Mytilus edulis: one gene and its partner. The protein of the gene in region 1 purifies or fractionates together with the protein of each later gene. This does not show direct contact. Links are inferred from orthologs where the notes say so. Each region holds a gene or a part of one and is shown in the gene's direction. Other genes may lie near its edges.

Region 1 (7,588 bases):
GTCAAAATCATACCTATAAAAGATCAGAACAGATGGATAACAAGTGAAACTGCGAGCTACTGCTCACTGATGATACCCCCGTCGCAAGTGGATAATATTAATAGTGTAAAAATATGCAAGTGTTCGGTAAACAGGAAGTTGTCGAGTGATGAATCTGAAAACGCATCACACGGTATAGCTGACTTATATAAATCCTGAAACCAAATTTCAGAAATCCTTGTATTGTAGTTCCTGAGAAAAATGTGACGAAAATTTTCAACTTGGCTATCATGTGTAAAATCAGACAAGTGTTCGGTAAACAGTAAGTTGTCAAGTGATGAATCTGAAAACGCATCACACAGTATGACTGACATATATAAATGTTGATACCAAATTACAGAAAGGGTGGATGTGTAGTTCCTGAGAAAAATGTGACGAAAGTTTCATGGGATGACTGACGGACGGACGGACTGACGGACGGACTGACAGACAGAGGTAAAACAGTATACCCCCCCTTTTTTAAAGCGGGGGTATAAAAAGTTATTATTTTTAGTCTCTCATTTTAATAGCAGTTTACAATGAAATGAATAGAGATATTGACTAAGGGGGGGGGGGGGGGGGAGGTTGCTTAAATAACCAACATTCAAAATGAGCATTTTTATCTTTTTTAAAGCTGTAATTGTCAAGCCAATAATCAAGGGTTCAAATTTGCTTAAAGTGTCAATGTCACGATATGGAGGTCCTGGCCATTCATTCATAAAATTTTACTGAGTACACAGAGTAAATATTAGTGCTTAAAACACTAAAATCCAGTATTTAGATTTCTGAGACTTAGTATGATTATCATACTCAAGTTTTGTGATTGTAAGATCTGGAGTGTTCAATTAAAAAAATCAACAGTTTCCTCCAAGAAAAGAAAGGTTTTAAATATGGGGGCAGACCAACAATAATTTGAATCCCTGATAATGGCATCTGATGACTGTTTTTGCATGTCAGCTAATATTATAGAAGATGACAGATAAATGTTGATTGTAAAATTAGTAAAAGTTATTAAAAATTCTGTGACATATGTTTTGAAGCTGAGCAAAGATTGATTCATATAATTTCTGAGCTTTCCAAGTTAATTGCAGTAAACCATCCAATAATTGATTTGAGGTATAATAACAATCTTCTTAGGTCACTACTTAAGAGGAGTCATATAAATATTTCTTACCCATTGTTAAAATCTTTTGCATCATTTTTATTGAGAACCTCACCCAGCCATTTTCTAAGGTTTTGATGAGATTTTCTGTTTGTTAAGTCATGGACTAGAATTATACCTGTAGTAAAATATCAAAATAATAGTTAAATCCTTTCACTAACAATTAAGTAATACAGGTAAATAGGCTAAATTATCAGGGGCGGATCAAGTCATTTTCAAAAGGGGGGTCAAATCATATGGCTCTATTCAAAAATGCAATGATAGTAAAAAAAAAATCATATGAAAAAGACAGCTTTGGGAAGGGAGGAGCATAAGACACACCCTTTGTGTGAAATTGTCGCAAGACTGAAAAACAAATTTAAGGTCCATAACTCTGGAATATCAAACAGGGAAAATTTACAAATTCTTCTTGATTTTTTCTGTCTCATTGATATATAGCCCTCCTTGTATCTATAAATATCTTAGCTGAATGTCAAAGTGACCACAACAAGCATAAAATCTTAAGATTTTTTTTTTATTTTCAAATGTCATTTAAAAATTTCTAAGGGATTGAAAACGGTTGTTTGTCAGTATGGATAAATAATATGCTAATTATGCCTTGGATGTGAGTGATTTGGGAAATCATAGAATTTATGCAGATAAAAATGTATAGTGTTTAATATTGACAAAATGTTGTTCAGCACTGGTAGCATATAGTAAACTGTATAAGTTTAAATCCTGTTAAACAGGACACTCTTTTCAATTTCATTTAATGTTTATGTTGCTTTATTTCATTACTAAATTACTTTTTGAGTTCACCAATACTTTAAAAAAAAATAACTAACCATTTACATTATTGTAAAATATTGATCTACTGTTCTGATGACTGGATGATCCACCTATATCCCACAATTCTGTAAAGTAAGTTTTCTCTGATGGAGTTCCTGCTTTATAGTCGTGAAGCTATAAAATATAATCATTCATAAATATATGTATATCATATTTTAAAAAGATTTCTAGATTCACTTCTATTAAGTTTGATTATGTAAATGTAACTTTAATCAGTGGGAGTCATATATTTATTAATGTTAAAGCTTCAGACAATGTCAGAAAACATTTCTTCTTCATTTTGCTTTACAAGACAAAAACAAACTAACCAACAATAACATTTAATCAAATTGCTTGTAAGCACTGAATGGTAAATATTGCGTTAATTTATCCGTTGGAAGTTAAATTAAATATTGCATTGTATAAAGCATTGGTTGTAGTTGATTCAACTAAAATTCTGGATAATGGGAGATAACTCAATTTTTAAAGATGACTTTAACAATGACATCATTTACAAATGTATATCTTCAGAACAGATTAAATCATATTAGATTGATAAATATCTGGAAATAATCATAGTAGAATGTATAGATTGTTATGATCAATGCACTATATTTTGTGTATCAAAAAGGTAGTGATAAGCCTTGGAAGATTTAGATGTCAAGTCAGTAACATAGCTATAGGGTTTAGCTTGCATTTTCATGCAATCTTTACCCAAAAAGTGGTGTTGAATCCTTACCTTGACCTCTACTGAACAACCAATAGTATAACCTGGATTAGAATTTGGTTCATTATGACACATTAAATGTACCAGTGAAGTCTTTCCAACACCTAATTGTAAAATATATATATGTAAAAGATATAAAACATGTAATATGACACATAAATTGCATTGTGAAGCTGAAAAACTCACTCACAACCAAATTTCCACAGACAAACTAGCCCCACTTTCTACATACTTGTCCCATCAATTTTAACCAACTGGCCCCACAAAGTAAAAGCAGCTCAATTGTTTTGTTTGTTTGTATGACTAAGTTGTCTTTTACTGTAATGATTTCTTTGTACATTCTTCTACCAATATATAAAATCGTTTTCATAACAGCATGGACAACCGCCATGGATGAATACTTATGTTGAATCATTTATCTTTAACTTGTTTGTCATAGGCTACCAATATCAGTGATTTTACGCTCACTCAGTCTGTCAGAGGCCTTCCAATTTCGGATTTAAATAGAATAAAAGAGAAAAGTATATGCAGGTGCACAATAAGAAAAAAATAAAAGTTTAAGTATTCAATATTTTTAAATCAATCCACAAGGTGTAGTCCTCTGCTATTTATTCGTACTATGTGATTTAGCTTTTAGAACCTTTGGTGATCCCACATTTTAAATGTTTATAACATGTAGGATTGAACAAATTGGCATTACATAAAGTTCACCTACATGTAATATGACCCAGTCAATTGATATCCTGAAGTGTGCAAAGAAATGGTCTTGTTCACACTGTTATGAAAATGATAAATATACTGTGATTATCATGTCAGGATTTGGTATTAAGACAGATCTCAGGGGTGGATCCACTCATTTTAAAAAGGGGGGTCCCTACCCAGGATAAAAAGGGGGGGGGGGGGGTCAAACCATATGTCCCCATTCAAATGCATTGATAGATTAATTACGAATGTAACAATAATATTTGTGTCTACAGTTACATTGCATTAAATATATATTGTTACATGAAAGACTGCAATGTATAATGAGACTGAGAAAATGTATTAACTTTTATTTGATATTTACAATATTGCATACGATTTTTTAAACTTTTATTTACAATGACAGTTTCTACAAATCCAGTAAGTTGTTTTTGGAGCATGTTATAGTCCGAGGCATTTTTGGTGAAACCACTCCAAGCAGTAATCACAAACCAGAGATGCGGCATTGTGCACTTCTATTTGGCCTACCCATACTGTAAAGTTTTTTTTTACCATTTTTGATTAAGCACTGTTAAAGTCACAATGTTGCTCCCATAGACTCAATGTAAAAAAATAATTAAAATAAAAACAATTCCCTACCTACCTACCCTTAAAAAATAATCAGCATATGACAGTAAACACACACATACGATACTTTTTTGTTTGGCCTCATACAGAAATTTTAGGTGTAACCTGGTAACAGGTATGTGATAAATTAACTTAAATTTTACCAGAATCGCCAACGACTATGATCTTTATTTTATCATAAGCTTGAAACCCTGCCATGGTCCATTTCCAACTTTGAGTGATGTGTCCAACCAAAACGAAAATAGATTAACGAAGGGTTATCTGCTCTTGATACGTCTAGATACCAGTTTGTCGTGCGTAGTTTCAAAGTTGTCAACATGTTATTTCAACTTTTGAAGTTATAAAGTCCTGATATATATTATTTTGCTATTTCTTTTACAAGAACATTTTATACCATGATTTATCACTTTGTTAACAGTGTAGTCTTTTTTTCCATACCGGCCGTTGCATAAAATTTTCGGTCTTTAGTTTTCCATTACTCATAACTTGTGACTGTCAACAAAAAAATATAAGACTTTTAGCAGTTCGTTATGGCCTCAACAAATGATACCACCTCTGCAACTCGAAGAAATCAGGTATGTTATTTAATAAAGTCAACATTTTTACAGATTACATATATAGAAAATTCGTTTTAATAGGTCCAAAATGGACATATATTTTTTTACCATTTTTTAATTCCTGCTTTAGAACTGTCTAACATGTCTAATATTTGTTGGAAGTAATAAAACAAACAAAAATGAAGAAGTATTGATGCTGAACATATTCGTCAATTCATTCTTTATTTAAAAAAAAAAATGAGAATGGAAATGGGGAATGTGTCAAAGCTGAGACTACTATATGTGTTATAGTACGTAGTCTCAGGTCAAATTTAAGGTTCATGTGGACCCTATGGCTAAAATGGCCGTATTTTCACCTCAAAATTTACTCTGAGTACAGACAAACCTGCGCATCTGTAAAACAATTAAGGCATAGCATGCCCTAGATAAATGAATTTTAAGTATGTTTTATGTTTGAGAAAAATAAAAACTTACCAGGATTTTGCCGTGCACTTTTTTTCATTCCTTCAGAAGGTGCCAAAATAAACTAAGTTGGGAAACAGGTTTGAGAACTTCCCCACAGGTAAAAATTAAAGTGAGCATTTTTAATTGACATGGACATTAAATGGACAATAGATACCTGACAATAATGGACCATTTCAAGGTAAACTCAACTGTTTGTTAATTTCATCATCTTCTGCAGAGACGAAAAAAAGTGTACGGCAAAATCCAGTTAAGTTATGAATTTTCTAAATCATACAATGCATTTGAATTCTATTTATCCAGGGCATGCTATGCCTTAAAACTTTTCCAGATGCACAGGTTTGCCTCTACTCAGAGAAAATTTTGAGGTGAAAATACGGCCATTTTAACCATAGGGTCCACATGAACCTTAAGAGACAACAACCTGACCAAAGAGCAGATAGCAGCTGTAGCCCTCCAATGGGTCTTCAATGCATCAAGAAAATCCAGCACCCCTAGGTTACCAATTTTGAAGTTCGTCTGTTCAATTCTGTAAATCTATAATTTAACCAGGCGTCATTTTAATGGCAAACTTATGACACTAGCTCAACAATCTCTTAACCCTTTCCTCCATAATGTTGCCTTTTTACGCCACCCCCTTTACGGATCCATAATGATGCCTTTTGACGCCACCCCCTTTTCTTCATAATGATACCTGTGTAGTGCCTCAGTTTAACCGGCTTACCTACGAAAAAACTTTATCAGACTTAATAAAACTAATTTGTATCTAATATAACAAGGATATTCATGAGAGGATTTGACTGGAATTTCATTTATGAAATATTCGTTTTTGCAATGCATTAATACTTAAGTTGATAATTATTTTTAGTAAGAAAAATCTTATGTTAATCAAGAATGTAAAAGAAAATCCATGGAAAAAAGGGTTAAGAGCTTATTTTTGTCTTGTTATAAATATGTGAACCGAATCAAAATAAAACTTTCGTATTCGTATAACAGGTGTCATAGTTTGTTGTTACAAGTAATCATGGTAATCTGCTTCTCTGTGTTGTGTATTTCTTTATATTTCGATCAGGCCTTTTTCCTCTATTCTTAAATAATTGTAAGTGTAAATCCTGAATTCCTGCAAAAATAAAGATTTAATCAATGTCCTGGAAATTATCATTCCACCACTCTCTTTTGAATTAGTTTCTTGATTTCATATATGTCAGAACTCTCTTTTGAATTGATTTCTTGTTTTGAAATATGTCAGAACCATTGGTATTTGGGCAATGGATTTTCTTCAGTTAATTATAAGTGATTCAGGACCAAGGTTTTTAAATTAAAAAAAAATCAGAAGCATTTTCTTTAAAAAATACAGGATCACATCATTAATCAGAAGTACAATATGACATAAACAGACAAGTAGGCACACTATATGTGCTACATGTACAAATTATACATTCAAAATGATAAAAAGAAAATCCCTTTAACACTGTAAAAATTCATGAAATTTTTGTAATCTGTTAATTTTTAAATGGTATAATTTTTGCAGCATTTCTGTGTGCAATGTTTTTTACTCTAGATACATGTATAGTCTCATATTTCTTCTTTATTTTTTATTAGTAAACTAATGATGTTTTAATATGATTCATTGAAAACAGGGTCTTCTTTTACATTAATGCATTATCCATATTACAAATTACAAAACTCAGTTTCTGACAAATTGGCCTACAAGCAACAAGCAAAGCTATAAACCTGGAAAAAAGTATTCACTAAAATAAGCTGTTTTACAGATGAATTCATGAACAAGAAACATGATGAAATACATATATGCATACAGAAATATTTTGTTCAATTTTAGGTTATGGTTGGAGAATTACCAGAAGATTTCCTGAGAGTACCTGTAGATGTAGCACAAGCTCAAGTAATGGCAGATGAAAGAGTTGCAAGGCTCGTACAAGCACAGCAACAAGGGGGATTTGTTGCTATCCCAGCAAATACTGTTGGTAGACTTACTATAACCGTTGCACAGGTAAAATACATGTATATAAGTTACTCAACTCAATAATCTTTAACTTTCTTCAACAAGTACTGTAAACATGAAATAAAATCTCTTAACTGGATATAAAAAGGGGTTCATCACTGATTATCATAATCTTAAATATAACTACAATTCATTAAAATGGCTCAGTTTTCTAGCAAATTAAAGTGTGTTTAATTGAATTTTTACGTTTTCAGGCCAAGTTGAATAAGAACTATGGACTAACAAAGATGGATCCGTATGTTAGAATGAGAATTGGTCACTCTGTGTTTGAGACGCCTACAGATTATAATGGTGCCAAAACACCGAGATGGAACAGAAATGTTAATGTGTAAGATATAAAATGTGGTGTCCTAGATTAAGATATAGACAATGTCTTTAATGGAACCTAAAATTGCAAGAACAGTGCTGTGAATTTCAACTACTATTTGGTTGAATATTTTCATTGCAAATTCAATAGGTTACAAAAGAGGTCTGATGAAAAGGAATCCATTTCTTAAATATGA
Region 2 (7,650 bases), on another chromosome or scaffold:
AAACATAGTGGACTGTTAAACAAATGCATGTATATTTTAAGTCACTTCATTTGTCAAGTATGTCCGTATCTTTTTAAAAACAATGTTATAATTATAACAGTTTACTAGAACACACCCGTGATATCGCGGGTCCATGACTGAATTAAAGTATATAACTATGCGTAAGCCTTATTTTAGTATTGGTATTGTCATCTGATAAAGTCGTGCCGATTATAAGATACACAGTTTTCTCTGCTTTCAAATCTTTCTGTTTGAACCTGTCGACCTGGAACTTTTCAATTATTGGTAATATTCAGGTCCTGGAATTGAGTATTTTTTAATCAACAGCATTGTCCAATAAAGTTCAAATGTTTGATTCGCTGTTTTGTGTCATGCCCGCTAACAAATTGAAAACTGTACCTATACGCCTTAGTCCAAATTTTTAGTATTCGTATTGTTATCTTAGAAAGTTTTACTAATTAAAAAACTACAATAGGGAACAATTTGACAATGATTGAATTTAGTTGTGTCGACTTTGTGATTATGACCGGTGTATATAGTAAAATCAAATACACCATTTGGTTGTGCGCCTGTTAGATACGGAACGTACAGATAAGGTAATGGGTAACAGGTGAATATACTTTTGGTATCAGTACCGGATTCAACCCGGAACTTGTTAATTATTGGCAATATTAATTATGTGGAAAACAAAAGGGTCTGGAGTGGTGTAATTTTTAATCTACACAATTGTCCTATTTTAGCTATATATAAAGTTGAATTCTTTGATATGTCGTTTTTACCTGATGCCGGCTGATAAATTGGACCTCGTAATTTTAGTATTATAGATATGTTCTTATCTTTGACTGTGCTTTTTGCTATCTATCAAAACTACTGTGTTTTTTTCCATCTATCCAAACCCTTCCTAATAGTAATATTTTTTTTTATCTGTACATAAATACATCTGCATCCTGTACCTTGGTTATGTCCCCTTGAATTTGAATCACACCAGGGATTGGTGCCATAGCCTGCAGATCTACTGCAACTATCTTAACATTGTCAGGTTTCTCTTTCTCTTCTCTGTAATTTACAAATTATCATAATCAAATAAATATTGATGCATATAATTATATTTAATCCTAAACATCACACTTTTTTTAAAGATGAATTTGAAGATATATTCGACTTAAGCCATTTTTGCTAGCAAAGCATTAAAATATGACCAAAACAAAATCCTTTATGGGTAACTATCAACCTTTACCTCCTTTATATATATATATATATATATATATATGTTTGCTTAAATTGTTAAAATCCCTAAAATCCTTAATGAAGAACAATAAGTTAAGAAAAAATAATTGTTTTCGTCTGTCTGTCATCATGGTCATGTGTCTGCGTGATCATTACATTTTTAACACTATCATTACAACTCTCTTCTATACATTCAGAAAACAAGGCCTTTAACTCTTTATCAGTCCATGCAAATTTTACATGTTATTTTGTTAAGTTCACTTATGGTATAGACACACTTGCATTGTTAAAGACCCTATTTTTTCCTTTTAATTTGTGTTTTTTCACTTTATATTTTGTTGGGTTTCCACAAATTATTAATACCAACATGGACATCCATAAATATACTTGCATTAGCTTCTTTGCCAAAACTTGACTCCAACTTCCTGGAGCAGCACACAAATCTACAACTTTGTTCACACCTAAAACATATATAAATATGTCTAGTTTAATTGGACAGGTGACGATATGTATATAAGTAATAAAACCTGGCTACATTTTTGCACATGTTGAGAGGTAAGATTTGTTCAGATCACTGATCAGATGGGTGTTCAGATGAAAACAAAATTTACTAAAGGCTATCAAGTATGAATAGAACAGATATTGACCATTCTGCAATGAGACAGCAACCCGAAAATAAAATGGTGTAAGATACCATCTCAGGGGTCTTTTTTATTATCTAAAATTACCTGATACATGTATTTCATTCTAAGATTCTTAAAAGGATTCTAAGAATCTGGTAAAAAATGTTTCCCATGGTCATAATAAAATGATTTTTTTTCAAGAGTATTGAGAAGATTCAAAATTTAAAGTTCAGTGTACATGTCTTTAAGTATAATTATATGATGATTATTTAGCAATCTTTTGAGAATAAATTAAAACACTAGTGGGTTGTTTGTGAGGAATTCTCTTTAGTAATTTAATTCAGGTCATTAAAACACCTTTATGAAAAAAAATTTTTTTTTTAGATTTAAATCATACCATTAAATAAACTATAATCTTCATTAATTTGCAGTAGTTTGAAGGCACTCCTAGCTCTCCAACCCTCTTCTTTAGCCAGTCTGTAGTAAACATCCCGTTTGTCTTTGCTTGACCGTCCCATATCTTTGATTTCTAATTTGGTTGTCAATGATTCCTAACCTTCTACAATAAAATACTCTATAAATAATAAATTGAAAAATATATGAGAGTTTTTATCAACAAAATCTTCACAACTTTAGAATGTGCAGAAGCAAATGTATACAGCACAACTTAACATATATTTCTTCTTCTACTAAAATATTTATATTCTCATGAATACAACTTTTTTTAATGGAGTGCTTAATTTCATTTCTTGTGTGATTAGATGGTCAATAATATACAATTATGGCCCGTTCAAAAGGTGAATATCCATAATTGTCAATACGAGAAGGTTATGAGAGTGCAGCCCGAAGTCAAATAACTTTTAAGGGTTGACAATTTGGATAATCATTGATTTTAAGGGGCCACAATTATTTTATTATAACGAACTAAAAGTGAAAAGGCCTTTTTAAACACTTACTATATTTTTTACTATCAAACACAAGCTGACGTTTAAAAATACCTCAGGAAAATACATTTGTGTTCTAGAATTTCTCGAATGTACAACAAAGGTAGAATCTTTTAGTAAAATATTGATGGCCCTGAAAAGGACCGTTACTCTACAAGAGATATCATCGGCTGCTGTCACTCTATTCATTTCCAAAGCCTTATTTTTTCGTCTCTCGATGGGCTGTTGTAGTGTAACATGAATGCTGCCATTTTGTTTATTTATGTCTGTGAAGTCATTTTCATGGGAGATAACTCGAGTGCAAATCTAGACACTCAAAAGGTTATTCGCCGGTGAACTTTAAGGTTATTCACTGCTGGTGTAAATTTTAAGGGTTATTCGTCCTCCTTTGCAATTAAATGAAAATTAACTGAATTATTCCATGTCACGTGATAAGGTGTTATCCAATAGAATTGTTTGTAATATATGTAAGGTATAATAATATTCATGATTACTGTTAACTTTTATTGAGAAAGCTAATTTGGTAGTATTGGGTCTGATGGGTTGTATTTATACTAGCTTTGGTGTAGTTACTAAATATTCTAGTAATCGTTTTGCGTTTGGAATAGTGCACTTAGATTGTATGATTCAATGTGTGAGCTGGTGATATTGCTTTAAATTTCTGCAATATCACTGTGACAAGTTTGGTGACTGTCTAAGGTCTTCAGCATGAATGAAATGCTTTTGATCATCAAGACAATATTATAAATATTTTATTTTGTCAAAATAATTCTTAAAACTCTAAAAAGAAACAGTTTAAAAAATGGTTTAGTCTTTAGAATTTGACTAACTTTGTTGTAAAACAGTAAAATCTTATTATCTTTATCATTTTTGTTTATTCTAAAACTGAAAATACAATAAATCTTAAAATGAGGGGGGATAGGAGGGGTCTTGATCCCGAAATCCCGGACTTGAAAAAACGAAATACCGAGGTCCCGAATTTAAATAAAGCAAATCCCGACACCCCGAAATCCGAAAAAAAGGATTCCCGGATCCCGAAAGGGTCAATCCCGAAATCCCGAGCTTAAACCCCCCCCCGATCCCGGAGTCCCGATAAAGGTTCTATCCCCCCTCTAAAATCTATTTCAAAAAAGCAATTTACAAATTAAACACACGAAGAAATTATTTAAGCAAAACCTCTAACAATGGTGCAATCAAGAAAGCAGACCATCTAGAATTATGACATCTTGAAGGGCTATTATATTTTTTTCTATCAACCTGTTCAATTTGATTTTTGACAGAAAAAAATACATACAACTGTAACTACAAAAAATGTACCTATTACAACTATGATTTTTTTTTAAATGTTGAAATATCCTGTTTACTTATGAGATGAGACTTTTTCTCAGAGCAATTTCAAAATCATATCACACTAAGACAGTCTAAGTATACCATGTGACAAATGCCACAGTAAGAATCAATTCATCAATAATCTAATAATAACATGAATAATGTGGATGTATATAATTTTACAGTTACATTTTTGAGGGTCTGGAAAAACATATCTTGAACAATATTCAAGTTCATTTTGTTTCTTAATCGAGAGACTTTGCACCCGGTCACTAAAGCGCAAAACTAACCCAAATACGGAACTTCTTTAGTTTTATCATAGTTCATGAAGAAAAGTATAGAGAGTATAAACAATACGCACGTTGTACATTTTGTAAGTTTTGCCGGTTTTGTGCGTTCTTCCTGACAAATTATCTAAATAGAAGCTAACACAATGACTGGAGGAGGTTATGCAGAAATAAAGCAACGAGAGCTTATGTACAGACTTATGATCAGGTAAAAATGCTTCTGTTCAGAAATTCCAAATAATGATTTTTGAAAAGCTGAAGTTTTGCTAAGCCTGGCCCTAGATAATTTACGTTGATCTATGGCACATCAGTAACATGCACACATTTGTGTGAGGTTTATACATTTTATCATGCACACATCCTTTACCCCATATTGTCAATTTAAATCATATGTCATTAAAAAAAGGTTTTAAAACAGTTCAGCTACATACATATAAAAATTATATCGCTATTCCCGGCTGACCAAACAATCTGTCCCGCTACAACTATCGATGTCATACAACAATCACTTTTCCATTGTGTCATCAGATAGTTTGTATTATGACGTTAAAACTTTACAGGAACCTCAGAGTTTGCGAAATCTTTTTTCCCCTGGTGGTCCTTGAAGAAAATCCACTGGTTCTCACTATTAACAGTCAGGGGTACTACTTAAACAAGTGATTTCAGAATCACTTCTTCAAGTGATTTTGACTGTGAAATATTAAAAAAAAATCTATAAATAAACACAGACTTTTTAAAATCACTGAAACAAGTAATTTGAGAAGATCACTTCAATAAGTGTTTATAACTTTTTCTTGATATTTTTCTCACAAGCTTTATTTTTTTTTTGGTAAAAAGAAAAGAATTCCATTGAAAAAACAACTATGTACATCTAGAAATTGTCTTTTGCTTGATAAGCCTGTCAGTTTTTACAATTTATTTAAAATATGCATTTTCTGGAATAATTTGTAGATCAGGACATAACCTTGAAGTACATGTATATCATTCTAACTCTAAAGAAAACCAATCAGGTTACCTACATGTAATATTGTTGACCTTTGTCTGATAGTCAGAGTAGTTAATGAATATTTGATCACAGAACAATTCCCAAGGGTACTTTAAAATGCTTTAGCGCACTAACTTACTGCTCAAGCGCACTGGTGAAGTTAATATCCATAGATAAAGGGATAATTGATCTATGTAGGAAAATTATACAAAAGTTTGTGAAAATTCAATGAAATTAGCATTTGAAGATCAAAGGAAACACCAAAATCACTTAAATAGGTGATAACTGAATTTATCAAATCATTGAAATAGGTGATAATGAAATCACTTGTTTAAGTACATCAGTTGTGGATCCAGGGGGGGGGGGGGGTTCCGGGGGTGCGCACCCCCCCTTTATTTTTGCCGATCAATGCATTTGTATCGGGAAATATCATATGTTTTGCACCCCCCCTTTGCCCTGGGTGCCCTGGGTTAGCACCCCCCCTTTCGAAAATTCCTGCATCCGCCCCTGTACATGTAGCACCCCTGACTGATTGATTCTATTGAAAAATACTAAAATTGTGTCAGTCCCACGCAAAATTTTGGGGGTAAAATCCTGAGGACTGACCTTTTTCGCGAACTCTGGAACCTGTGTGATTTCCAGTAATGGCGGACAATTATCGGTAAGGTGTATACATACACCTTATCGCTATTTGTCCACCATTACTGGATATTACACAGGTTCCCGTAAAAATTTGACGTCACAAAACAAAATATCTGACGCCACAATGGAAAAGTGATTGTTGTATGGGTCAAAAGTTCAAGCGGCCGGGTCAGCTGGGATTAGCGATAAGGTGTATTGTTGTAGTGACTTGTGGCCGAATACAGTAATTGGGACTGAGCTATTTTTGAATGGGCTGCCCTTAAAAAGGACTAAGATATCTATAGATATAGAAGAACTGTCTGGCTGAATTGGTTAATAGAATGCTGCCTTTATATCCCAAGATTGAGAGGGAGCAGCAGGACCTTTTACGGAACGTCAGGATCAGGTGTATTTAAGGATTGATTTTTTTCAGGAATCAGGAATTCTTTTTTCGAATTTCCGGATGTTAGGATTTAAATTTTTAAGATTTTATGTTTTTAAGCCTGGGATATCCCCCCTTTCAAGATTTAGATTAAGCAGTGTGAGTATAATCTACAAAAAATCTTCCAAACTGTACTGCTAAAATTACAAACTCAAAAACCTTTGTTAATTTATGTATCTTTCTGCCTCGCAATAATGTTAAAATATACATTGACGCTAGTTTTCATGAATTATTGAGTAAATTTGTGTAAGTTTCTGTATCCTATTGGCATGATTGGTGAAAATAAGACAATCATTGCTTGTACTTATATGCGACAATGGGACAAAGCACTGGAAAAATTCAAAGAGAAACCATTATTTTATAAACGCTTCATTGATGATGGTTTTGGAATTTGGACTCATGGCGAACAAAAACTCAAAGAATTTATGGACTTTGCAAACTCAATAAATGACAAAATAAAGGTGGAACTTAGGTACAACAGCAATCAGATTGAATTCTTAGATACACTTGTGAAAATAAAAAATAGTAAATTAACAACAGACCTTTATACAAAGCCAACTGATAAACATATATATGTTCACAGCAAATCATGCCATCCAAAAAATGTAAAAAAGGCAATTCCTTATGGTTTAGCATTACGATTAAGAAGAATTTGTGAAAATGAAGATGACTATCAAAAACATAGACAAGAACTAAAATTACAACTGCGAAAAAGAGGCTATAATGGAAAATTTATTGAAAACCAACTAAAAAGAGCAGATGACTTAAATAGAAAAGAGTTATTACAGAGAAAAAATAAAATTAAAAAAACATCAGAACGCATACCTCTTGTTGTAACCTTTACTGATTTACTACTTGATATTCATGACATTGTGAAAAAAAGAATTAATATTTTACATAACTGTAACTTGATGAAAGAAATATTTCCAGAACCACCACTAGTAGCTTATCGAAGAGATAGAAACTTAGCAGACATAATTGTACATGGAAAACTAAATAAGATCACCAAAATATGTACTAACTACAACAGCAACAAAACATGTAAAGAAGAATGTGAAGTTTGCGATATTGAAAGACATGAAGAAAAAATTATACTCGGAGATAAAACATTCAACCTCAAAAAGAACATTCATGGATGTCAACTGGTGAACCTTATTTATGGACTTCACTGTGAAAAATGTAACCACTATGT

What was found.
Region 2: the proteins of toll-interacting protein-like (region 1) and cleavage stimulation factor subunit 1-like purify together in Homo sapiens (co-immunoprecipitation; 3 studies listed by BioGRID and IntAct, with this or other methods). This does not show direct contact. The link is inferred for Mytilus edulis from reciprocal best matches to the Homo sapiens genes TOLLIP and CSTF1.

Annotation. Positions count from the first base shown.
Region 1 is NC_092353.1:33,032,226-33,039,813, forward strand, and holds the start of toll-interacting protein-like, read left to right. Parts: upstream 1-4,475; 5' UTR 4,476-4,573; coding exon 4,574-4,618; intron 4,619-6,902; coding exon 6,903-7,073; intron 7,074-7,279; coding exon 7,280-7,413; intron 7,414-7,588. Other genes in the region: rab-like protein 3, read right to left, coding at 1-13, 1,193-1,298, 2,005-2,122, 2,727-2,818, 4,187-4,241. UniProt on the Homo sapiens protein: Component of the signaling pathway of IL-1 and Toll-like receptors. Inhibits cell activation by microbial products. Recruits IRAK1 to the IL-1 receptor complex. Inhibits IRAK1 phosphorylation and kinase activity.
Region 2 is NC_092356.1:6,401,662-6,409,311, reverse strand, and holds the start of cleavage stimulation factor subunit 1-like, read left to right. Parts: upstream 1-4,438; 5' UTR 4,439-4,556; coding exon 4,557-4,618; intron 4,619-7,650. Other genes in the region: tRNA (cytidine(32)/guanosine(34)-2'-O)-methyltransferase-like, read right to left, coding at 954-1,056, 1,619-1,688, 2,248-2,368. UniProt on the Homo sapiens protein: One of the multiple factors required for polyadenylation and 3'-end cleavage of mammalian pre-mRNAs. May be responsible for the interaction of CSTF with other factors to form a stable complex on the pre-mRNA.